Neurospora crassa OR74A: one gene and its partners. The protein of the gene in region 2 binds, or shares a complex with, the protein of the main gene of each other region. Links are inferred from orthologs where the notes say so. Each region holds a gene or a part of one and is shown on either strand. Other genes may lie near its edges.

Evidence for each region.
Region 1: the proteins of NCU16028 (region 2) and NCU06741 are in contact, whole or in part, in a cryo-EM structure (PDB 8C8Q), measured with the Schizosaccharomyces pombe proteins. The link is inferred for Neurospora crassa OR74A from reciprocal best matches to the Schizosaccharomyces pombe genes cox2 and cox12. Residues at the interface, in YP_011104938.1 of Schizosaccharomyces pombe: Asp104, Val106, Pro109, Ser110, Met111, Thr112, Lys114, Ile116, Arg118, Glu125, Asn127, Asp128, Phe129, Val130, Glu133, Thr169, Arg172, Ile174, Thr176, Gly198, Arg199, Leu200, Asn201, Gln202, Leu237, Phe240, Leu244, Glu245; in NP_588322.2 of Schizosaccharomyces pombe: Gln12, Phe13, Thr14, Phe15, Gly16, Thr17, Val18, Gly19, Phe20, Thr27, Asn28, Gln29, Thr30, Cys33, Trp58, Gln62, Ser63, Leu64, Cys65, Pro66, Met67, Glu68, Trp69.
Region 3: the proteins of NCU16028 (region 2) and cya-4 are in contact, whole or in part, in a cryo-EM structure (PDB 8Q1B), measured with the Schizosaccharomyces pombe proteins. The link is inferred for Neurospora crassa OR74A from reciprocal best matches to the Schizosaccharomyces pombe genes cox2 and cox5. Residues at the interface, in YP_011104938.1 of Schizosaccharomyces pombe: Asp10, Ala11, Pro12, Ser13, Ser14, Trp15, Gln20, Asp21, Gly22, Glu146, Glu147, Leu149, Glu150, Glu151, Gly152, Ser153, Leu154, Glu158, Arg209, Glu210, Gly211, Leu212, Tyr214; in NP_588158.2 of Schizosaccharomyces pombe: Pro136, Arg137, Thr138, Trp143, Lys146, Ser147, Tyr150, Asn154, Lys155, Ile156, Asn157, Pro158, Ile159, Ser160, Gly161, Glu162, Arg170, Gly171, Gln172, Ile173, Ser174, Phe178.

Annotation. Positions count from the first base shown.
Region 1 is NC_026502.1:2,087,756-2,091,240, forward strand, and holds NCU06741 (cytochrome c oxidase subunit VIb), read right to left. Parts: upstream 2,008-3,485; 5' UTR 1,847-2,007; coding exon 1,801-1,846; intron 1,293-1,800; coding exon 1,180-1,292; intron 1,006-1,179; coding exon 942-1,005; intron 862-941; coding exon 830-861; 3' UTR 503-829; downstream 1-502. Other genes in the region: NCU06742 (hypothetical protein), read left to right, coding at 1-343; NCU06740 (hypothetical protein), read left to right, coding at 2,531-2,596, 2,698-2,713, 2,882-2,947, 3,031-3,173. UniProt on the Schizosaccharomyces pombe protein: Component of the cytochrome c oxidase, the last enzyme in the mitochondrial electron transport chain which drives oxidative phosphorylation.
Region 2 is NC_026614.1:58,157-60,874, reverse strand, and holds NCU16028 (cytochrome c oxidase subunit 2), read right to left. Parts: upstream 1,347-2,718; coding exon 594-1,346; downstream 1-593. Other genes in the region: NCU16027 (ATPase subunit 9), read right to left, coding at 2,043-2,267.
Region 3 is NC_026502.1:1,656,430-1,659,812, reverse strand, and holds cya-4 (cytochrome c oxidase subunit IV), read left to right. Parts: upstream 1-1,515; 5' UTR 1,516-1,656; coding exon 1,657-1,891; intron 1,892-2,289; coding exon 2,290-2,483; intron 2,484-2,551; coding exon 2,552-2,638; 3' UTR 2,639-2,827; downstream 2,828-3,383. Other genes in the region: NCU16537 (hypothetical protein), read left to right, coding at 408-468, 530-593, 657-717. UniProt on the Schizosaccharomyces pombe protein: Component of the cytochrome c oxidase, the last enzyme in the mitochondrial electron transport chain which drives oxidative phosphorylation.

The DNA of each region.
Region 1 (3,485 bases), on a different chromosome or scaffold from region 2:
GGAGGCGGTTATGACGGCTCTGAAGAAGGGCGCGTACACGGATAATCTGTCGATGTTGGCGGCTACGGCGGCTGCGGCGAATGCAGCGAATCCTCGGGAGGGCGGTTCGGGGAGTGGGAGTGGGTCGTCTTCCGGGGGTGAAGCGATGAGTGAGGATGAAAAGGAGAGTGAGCGGGATGGTGCGGCTACACCACCATCGGAACCGGAGCCGGAACCGAAGATGGTGGTGGACCAGGAAAAGTTAAAAGGCAAAGAGAAGGAGACGGTGCAACCGAAGGCGCAGATCAAGACCTTCGCTGGCTTTGATGACGATGATGAATTTATGAGCTCTGATGATGAGTGAGAGTTCGATGGAAGATGTCATAGACTCATGGAGATCTCGGTGGTGTAAGTTGGGATGTAACGGGTGAACCTGACTCTCTTGACTGCCTCGGGAAGACAACTCATAGATGGCGTTATCGGGAGTTTGGTTTTGTTTAAATTGTCTCATGAGTAGCGAATAGGGACAAAGGGGGTTTTCATGATACCACATACTATACATCTAGGCCACATCATACAAAGCCTAGTGAAATACTGAATTCAGTTCAATGAAGGAGCGCTGATCTGATTCATTTTTTTCATTTCGATAACATCACTTCAGCAAGATGCAACGGGAAATCTTCGTTGCGCCAACCCCAACATACTCTCTATGTGCATTCGCCAATACTACCAAGAGCTTTCTAATACAACTAGGTTTGATGTAGGGTGAAGTGAGTCCTGATAGGTGGTTGACTTTTGTCATCATCCACCCACCAATCTGTGTCGCGTCATACAAGCATTTCAGGGGTATTTACTCCAGCTTGACGGGGAAGTTGCCAGCCTCTGTAAGAAGTTGTCAGTGAACATGCCCTTTATCGGCCCTTTCCTAGCAGTGAAAAAAGGATTGTTTCCCCGTTACGTACCACGCTGCTCGTCCCATCTCTGGTACCAGCCGCTGGGGCAGAGAGAGCGGTAGGCGAGCCAGAACTAATAAACAGCGAGGTGTCAGTCAGCATTCGGGTCCCTTTTCGTTTCGTAGCTTTGTCGTCCTCAGTCTGGCTTTGTATCCCATCCGGTCCCCACGTTTCCCCTTTCTCTTTCTCATCCGGCAAAGCAACAGCTGACGGCAGTGGTGAAATTAGTGGTGGTGGTGCGGCTAACCTGGCGGCAGGGAGCGAAGTCCTCGCCCTTGGCGAGAATGCACTTGTGGTAATCAACGTAGTTTTGCCAGCAGTGCTTGGTCTGGTTGACGTTGGGGAAACGGGCGTCGACACCTAATAGTTTTTGAAAAAACACGCAATACGTCAGAACACAGGTTTTTCTTTTTCTGGCGATTTCTCTTTGGTGCTGGTTTTGATGGCTCTGCTCGCTCGCTCGTGATCCGCATCCGCAAAGCTAGCAGCTGCTGGCATGGAGAAGGGGTGTTTGCCCCGTGCCGCGCAAAGTTCGAAGTTCGGGGTCTCCACAATGCACTCCTCTTCTTCCCCCGTGCCAACAGAGCTTGAGCTCTATCTTCAACCGGGGTATATCGGGGATTCCGGCGACATCGCGAGTGAAGGATTTGAAGGCTTGCTGCCGATCTTCGGCAAATTCGGCGGAGGAGCTAAATGTGTTTGAAAAGCAAGAGTAAGGGTGGTTGCATACCGGCTGCGACGTGCGTTTGTTAGCAATGAAATTCCGGCCCAGCGCAATGAGGTCACGGCATGATTTTTGGCCGAGGGAATTTAGATCTTTGCTTGGGGGAGCAGAGGTCCAATTCTCAGGGACTAAACCTGTACGTACCAGTGACGAACTTGAAGGGCTTGGTAACGCGCTCGTCGTCGGACATGTTGGCGGTGGTTTGCGGTGGTGGTCGCGGGGGTGGTGGTGTCTGGGAGTTGGTGTCGAGGCGGAAGCTCAATGGCTTGTGGGATTGGACCAGGTGCGGGTGTTGACGGGGACGTGGAAGAGCAGAGCTGCTGTGAGATTCTGACCTTTGCGTCGATGATGAGGCGAGGTGAGCCGAGTGGATCGATTCCACAGCACGGGTGCTAGCTTTTGGTAGCTCTGACGAATTGCAGTCAGTGCGCTGTCCTCCTTCCCCGTCCAGGCAGTGCCAGGCAATGCACCTTCTGGAAGCCAGCGCTTCGTCCGCTGTAGTAGTAGAGACTGCCTCGATCCGGAAGCCTGAGGCACCAACTTTCGCGGCACCTCAGCACTCATGCAGCGTCTTGGCAATCCCCGAATGGTGACGGCACTCCGACGGGCAATGATTCCCGCCTCGACCGAATCCGGGGACAGCTGGACGCCAGCTGCGGTGAGCTGACCTCACCTAACAGCAGGTGGAACCCACCCGGCTAGTGTCCGTGCAGCCGAACGAAGCTCAACGCTCGAACTCCCGCATCTTGATTTGAGGCGAAGAAGCCAAAAGTTCAATTGCCAACCTCGATCGCAAAAGCTGCTCTCTTCGTCCACCGCGGTAGCGCAACACCATCCCTCAAGACAAATCTCCACTCAATTCCACGTCGGCAAGATGTTCGCCTCCCGTGTCGCCCGCCAGGCTTTCCGCCAGACCCCCCGCATGATGCGCCCCATTCCCGTAAGAGCTATACCCGGTCTCGAGTCCGCGACTTTTCCGAAGCTTTGGGAGGTGCCATTGCGTCAGAGTTACTAACCATGGGATTTTTTGTCTTGCAATAGAAGGAGGAGCAGGCCGGTACGTGAACGAACAACCCAACCGTTGCATTCTACGACAACAAAAGCTATTACACAATTTGCCGGAGCTTCAGGAGCATCTACCCCAGTTGGCAATGGAGATGGAGGGTTTCAAAATAATTGCGCGAGGGGGGGATATCCGCGACTGACAACGTCATTTACGGTACAGCCCACACCGTCTCCCAGCGCCTCCGCATGCGCATCAAGACCATTCCCGCTGAGTTGTGGCCTCTCGGTAAGCTTGCACCAAGCTATTACACATATGGATGCCATCCTGGATCGAGTGCTGATAAGGGGGGAAATTGTTTGACTGAGTAGGTGTTGTCGTCGGTTTCGCCGTCAGCGCTGCCATCTACTCCATCACTCGCCACCTTGTCGTTGACAAGACCATCCGTCTCAAGCGCCAGAACCGCGCTGCCGATTCGCACGCTCTCCACGCTGCTCACGAAGAGAAGCACTAAACGAACAACCAGGGATTTTTGTGCATGGGGCGTATGTTCGATAAGGGAACGAGGAAAGTGTTCTCGAGAAAGGTTGCCTCCTTTTTTTTTTTGCGTAGCATTGTACATGATGACCAGGAATCAACACGGTTAATCCTACAAAAGAGTTGAATGCGGTCAGACGGGTGATGATGGCTGTCATTTCTGTCCAAGTGAGGGCTCCCGAAGTGGTGTCCGAGTGACCTTGTCGATTTTGATGTCTAATGGTAAAAAAGAACCAACAGAATGTGATACACTTTCCAAAAATACACCCAAGTCCCAATGATGCCATTT
Region 2 (2,718 bases):
TCTTTAAAAGGTTTTTGGATTTAAGCAAGGTTCCTTCCGCTAGGCTACGCCAGACTTCAGGAACTTGCTTGTTATTTTAACCCTTCCCCGCCCTGCAGTACTGCAGGGGGGGGGGCGGGTAGCCTTTTAAACCTAATTAACCTATAAAAATAATAATAATTAAAAGCACCCCCCTTAAGGGGGGGGTGCTTTCCAGTTAATGGGCCCCCCGCCCCCGAAGGGGGCGGGGTCCCCCGAATATTGTTTATAATATAACCCACCACCTCCCGGATGTTCCACTCCACTCGCTCCCCCCCGCAAACCTGCGGGGGGGGGAGCGAGTGGAGTTAATTCCGTTCCACTCCACTCCCCCCCTTAAGGGGGGGGGGAGTGGAGTTAATTCCATAAGTCATCCTCTTCATATTAGAAACTTTTTATCGCTACCCCCTCGCTCCCCCCCCGCAAACCTGCGGGGAGGGGGGGAGAGATAACCACTAGATGGCTTCATACTCAAATACATAGGGCCCCACGAATACCCCACACACCTTCGTGTGTGGGCCGTATTCGTGGGGTCCCCCGAGTTCCTTTATTTAGCCAAAAACTATTTTATCGTCTTACTGTTCTTCTAATCAAGTAAGGAATTTTTCTAGAGATACTGACTCTATAACTATAGGCATAGAACTGTGTAATATACCACAGATTTCAGAGCATTGACCATAGAATACTCCTTCTCTGTTAATAAAAACAGATACTTGATTTAATCTCCCAGGATAAGCATCACATTTAACACCTAAAGATGGAACAGCGAAGCTATGTATCACATCACCTGCAGTGATGATAAATCTAACGTGTGTTAGTTCAGGAAGGATAACTCTATTATCCACCTCTAACATTCTTAGTGCTCCTTCTTCCAAATCGGATTCCGGTACTATATATGAATCAAATTCTATAAATTCATCATTTGAATCTAAGAAATCAGGATATTGGTAACTTCAATATCATTGGTGCCCCTCTGCTAAAACTGACATTGAAGGATCACTAACTTCATCCATTAAATATAGCAACTTAAATGAAGGGAAAGCAATTAATATTAATATTACTGCTGGAGTAATAGTTCATATTAATTCGATTAATGTACCGTGATTTAAATATTTATGTGAAATTGGTGATTTTGTACTGATATAATTTCTTATTATAGATAATAAGATTCATCCTACACCAAATAGTATTACCACCAGATAGTACATAATATTGTCATGTAATTCAACTAAACCTTCCATCTGAGGAGTAGCACTATCTTGAAAATAGATACCTCATGGGCTTGGAGCATCAAAATTCATAATTAAATTATTAAATAATAATCCCATAAAAAAAGAAATAGAATATTCTATATTGAATATTAAACCATAATAATAAATATATTATATCTTTTCATAAAATATAGAATTTAAATATAACATTAAACTGTATTGTATATTAAGGCTAGGCTAATTCTTATCCACTAACGAAGTATACCCTGTGCCTAATGGGTTTTTATAGCCTGCTGCTCATAAGGTTAGGCTACGCTAGCGTCCTTTGTTTTTTCGGGGGACCCCGCCCCCTTCGGGGCGGGGGCCCAAAAAAATGAATTACCTTCGCTCAGCTTCGCACACTTCGCTCACTTCGCTCAGCTTCGCTCAGCTTCGCTCAGCTTCCCTCCCAAAAAAGTACCACCCTCCTCCACTCGCGTACCCCCTCCTTTGCTCAAGGTCCCCATCACATTTAATTATGCCCCCCTGCAGTATTGCAGGGCGGGGGAAAGATGGGGGCCGCCAAGGGGGGGGTTGAGTGGAGGAGGGTGGTCGCGATATTATGGCTAGCTAAATTATTAAGGCTGCTTCCTGCCTGCCTAGACTTCGTAGGCAGGAAGTAGGAGGGGGCCCCCCACGAATACCCCACACACCTTCGTGTGTGGGCCGTATTCGTGGGGTCCCTCGAAGCTAGCTAGCTAGCTAAGCAGGAAGAGCAGCCATATTTTTTATTTAAGCAGCCATACATCATTTTATTCCTAATCTCTATCATTACTATGCAACATAAAGAAGTAAAAAAGCCATCATCAAAGCAAATAATCCTGTCGCTTCCGAGAAAGCAAAACCTAAAATTGCATATGCAAATAATTGACTTTTTAACGAAGGGTTTCTTGAAACCCCTATTATTAATGAGCCAAATACAACTCCAATACCTATACCAGCTCCGATTAAACCTGTGGTAGCTAGCCCTGTTCCTATTATTTTAGCTACTTGTATCATTATATATACAATGGTGGAATCAAAAATTAACTAGAATCTAGTAACCTCTTCAATTCCACCACCGCAAAGCAGCAAATACCACTGAGGCTCCCGACAACAGTGTATTTACTGCTGTTGCAGTATATCTAATGATAATCAAGTAGCCATTAGGCTATCCCTAATGGCTACAATAATCATACGATAGCTAGCCAGTATATAACTGGCTAGCTATCGTAATCTTTAGTACATTACATATAAAGATTACATTACAATACATTACATTACATTACATGTAATGTAACATTACATTACAGTTACATTACTGTACATTATATTACATTACAGTTACATTATATTAAGTTACATTACAGTTACATTACAAAATATTACATTACAGTTACATAACATTAAGTTACATTAAGTTACATTACATTACATTAAGTTAAGTTACATTAAGTTACATTTTATATTA
Region 3 (3,383 bases), on a different chromosome or scaffold from region 2:
GCAACGTGCAGTGCTTTCAAGGTTGAGACGCGTCCACAAACACTGGGAGACGCGCCGTCGGAGAAAATGTGGTCTGTGCGCTACTTAGCTGTGTTTAATGATTTCCAATTGCCTCCGCGTCATTGCTTGCATGCACTGGACCGGGGTTAAACAGACAGTGCACATGGCATCCGGGCGGGCGGCGGAATGGAGCTGTGCAGATTATGCTACACTACAGTACAGTACTGCCCTGTACAGCACCGTTGTTGCCGTTTACAGGGACGGACCCAACGAAACGCTGAAGTGTTCTCGAACTGAGTGAAGGTCCAGATCGAATATACTATCGAAGCTGATATTCAATCCGGTCAACTGAGTGGCGATCATCAGCCAAGACATAAAAAAATCAACAACAGCAACAAAAAGTCAAGATGCTCAACGGCAAAAAGATCATCACCATTGGTTTGGTAGTAACCTTTGGCATCGTGAATGGTCCGGGCTCTTTGGTTGCATGTGCTTGTGATTGGAAGAATAAAGTCTGACGTCTCTGCAGGATACTACACATTTGCCCCCAGTCTCCGGGCGGAGAAGGAGAAGCGTGAAGGCCTAAACCTTGGGTGAGAAGATGAGCTTGAAACAATCAAGTGCGGTTAAGACTGGATAGACTAACATGACACCAGTCCCCCGGCCAAGCCCTCTCCATATGAGATTAGGAAGCAAGAGTGGGAGAAAAGAGAATGAGATGTAGGATGCTAGCATGGAGTAGAGTAACAACTAGGTATCGTGATCATACCATCGACCAAGGCATGAGTTATATATATATATTTGGAGGGATATGTCGGTGCATAGCTGTCCCTCTTTTTGTTTTCTCGAAACTCATGACAGCAATTCGTTTGAAACGAAGCATCCAAGGCTTCATTTTCGTTCTGCCGCGTTTACTGTACTCATTGCGGATAACATGACATGAAATATCTCTCTGCAAGGCTTTAATCTGTCTAAAGACCCTGTCGTGTCTCCCACTCCGGACAAGCAAACAATAAACTTTGTGAGACAGTGACGTCTGGCATGTGAGTTCCGTTTTTCAGCTGCCAGAGAATCGAATCGTCGTCATCCAAAAGTCAACAATGAACAATGGACACTCCAGTCAGCCCAAGGACAAAACGTCCATGGTGTGGAAACTGAAGGCGGTCCGTGCCAGCTGTCAAGAGTGTGGAATTGCCAGGTGAGGGGCTCCGTTTCTGAGCGCCAGACACGCAAAAGCTGCCCGTTCACCACTTGCCAGGCGGCCCTGGTCAGCCTGCCGTGAGTTGGCTCCCGGGAAGATACGGGGCCCCAAGCTAGGTAAACTGTGACAGCGAGTCTCATAGCGCTCTGGTTTGGGGGTGTTTTCACTGGCGGGCACTGCGTTCGGGGTGAGCAAAGTGGGCATCAGGCCATCCCAGGCATTCCTCGAGTTCCGAGCTGAGGCCGCATCCCCGTTTCGCCTACCTGCGAATCCCGTTCGCCCAAAAAAAAGCTCGTCCTTTGCATGACTTCACTCCTCGCACAAAATCACCGTCGACGATCGAGCTCCAGGCCTCCGACCACGCACGCGGGCGACTCAATTGGATCCATCTCCACCCCCGACTTCGAATCCTCCTCAACTTCCTAATCTCTGTCAGCCGACAATCCGCCGCCACCATGCTTCGCACTCCTACCGTCTCGGCCCTCGTGCGCAACGTCGCCGTTCGCGCCGCCAAGCCCACCATGGCCGTCCGCGCCGCTTCCACCATGCCCATCTCCAACCCCACGCTTGCCAACATTGAGAAGAGATGGGAGCAGATGCCCATGCAGGAGCAGGCCGAGCTCTGGATGGCTCTCCGCGACCGCATGAAGGGCAACTGGGCCGACCTTACCCTCCAGGAGAAGAAGGCTGGTAAGTGAGAAGTGGAAGGTTGAAGGTTGGCGAAATGCCGGGTGGAGCTCGACCGTCCAAGCTCCGAGCTAGTTGCATCACCAACGCCCGCCTTGAAGCTCCCCCCCGTCACCCTCACTCTGCGACAACCCCGAGCTTCAAACAAGCTTCACGAGCTCCCGGACAGCTTTGGGATCGTTGGGCGGAAATGGATCTTGTCGGCCTAGAGGTTATCGGTTGATTGATGGGTTGTTGGGGGACGCTGGGAGAAGGCTGAGGGAGTAATGGTGCGCTACATTGGAGGAGAAGAGGAGGGAAGCTCCGACGACAAACCGCACCATGACAGCCATCAAGGTCGTCTCAAGAGACACGCAGGCCCAGACCACAGAAAGACTGACATGTACTCTCTCTCAACGCAGCCTACTACATCGCCTTCGGTCCCCACGGCCCCCGCGCTCTCCCCCCTCCCGGCGAGCAGAAGAAGGTCTTGGCCTACACTGTCGCCGGTGTCTTCCTCTCTTTCGTCATCTTCGCTACCATGCGCGCCTTCGCCAAGCCCCCTCCTGCCACCATGACCAAGGAGTGGCAAGAGGCTACCAACGAGTTCCTCAAGGTGCGTCGGCTCATATCGGCTCTTTGTTGGCAACCAGATCAACTAACACATATATCACCAACAAACAGGCCCAGAAGTCCGACCCCCTCACTGGTCTCACCTCCGAAGGCTACAACGGCAAGGGCCACGTTCAGTCTCCCTCTGCCAGCGCATAAGTTTCGCATACTTTTATTGGTGCTCAGGGGTAGACTCATCCTTCGTTCTCTCGGATATCGGCCATGTCAAACGAGTCTGTGAGGATCGGGGGAAAGGACAGTGGTGGCATTGGAATGCTTTGGGGCGCTTAACACTTGGGTTGGTGTGTAAATACTGTACAGCTGACAATGCATTATCATTTCCTTTAGCCGGCGCGTTCGTTTTGTTGTCCGGTGTAAATGGGGGTCATGGGGGTTTAGGGAGATATGGAACTTGGTAGAGAAGAGTGAGCGGATGGGGATAGCTAGATTCGGGCAGTGAGGCCAAGCTCCTGGATATCAAGATGAAACGAGGTATTTGAGGATTTTGAGGGAGTAGCATCGTCACACGCGGAAAGAAGCTTCCGAGCTTTTAAGGCGCCTAGCACCTTTTCAGGATGACGTCTCTTGATCCCTGCTAGGTGTTTCGCTGCTAGTAAGAAATGACACTGTTTGTTTGTTTGTTTGTTTGTTTACTTGACATGGCCGAAAAAGGGGTAAGCTACCCTGCTCCCAGCACCCAGCCGTATCTCACTCGGTAGCCCGTACTTCGGATAAGAGTTACGGGCGATGATTTCACATCCGGGCCTTCGGGACGAGAACGCCACTCATAGTCCTGCCTCATCCAGATGCTCTTTCTTCGTCCTGATGTTTTTGCCTGCTGCGGCTGTCCCCTCGTGACCAACCGTCATCCATGAAGTTGCTGGATTGATTTCAGACTGCGTGC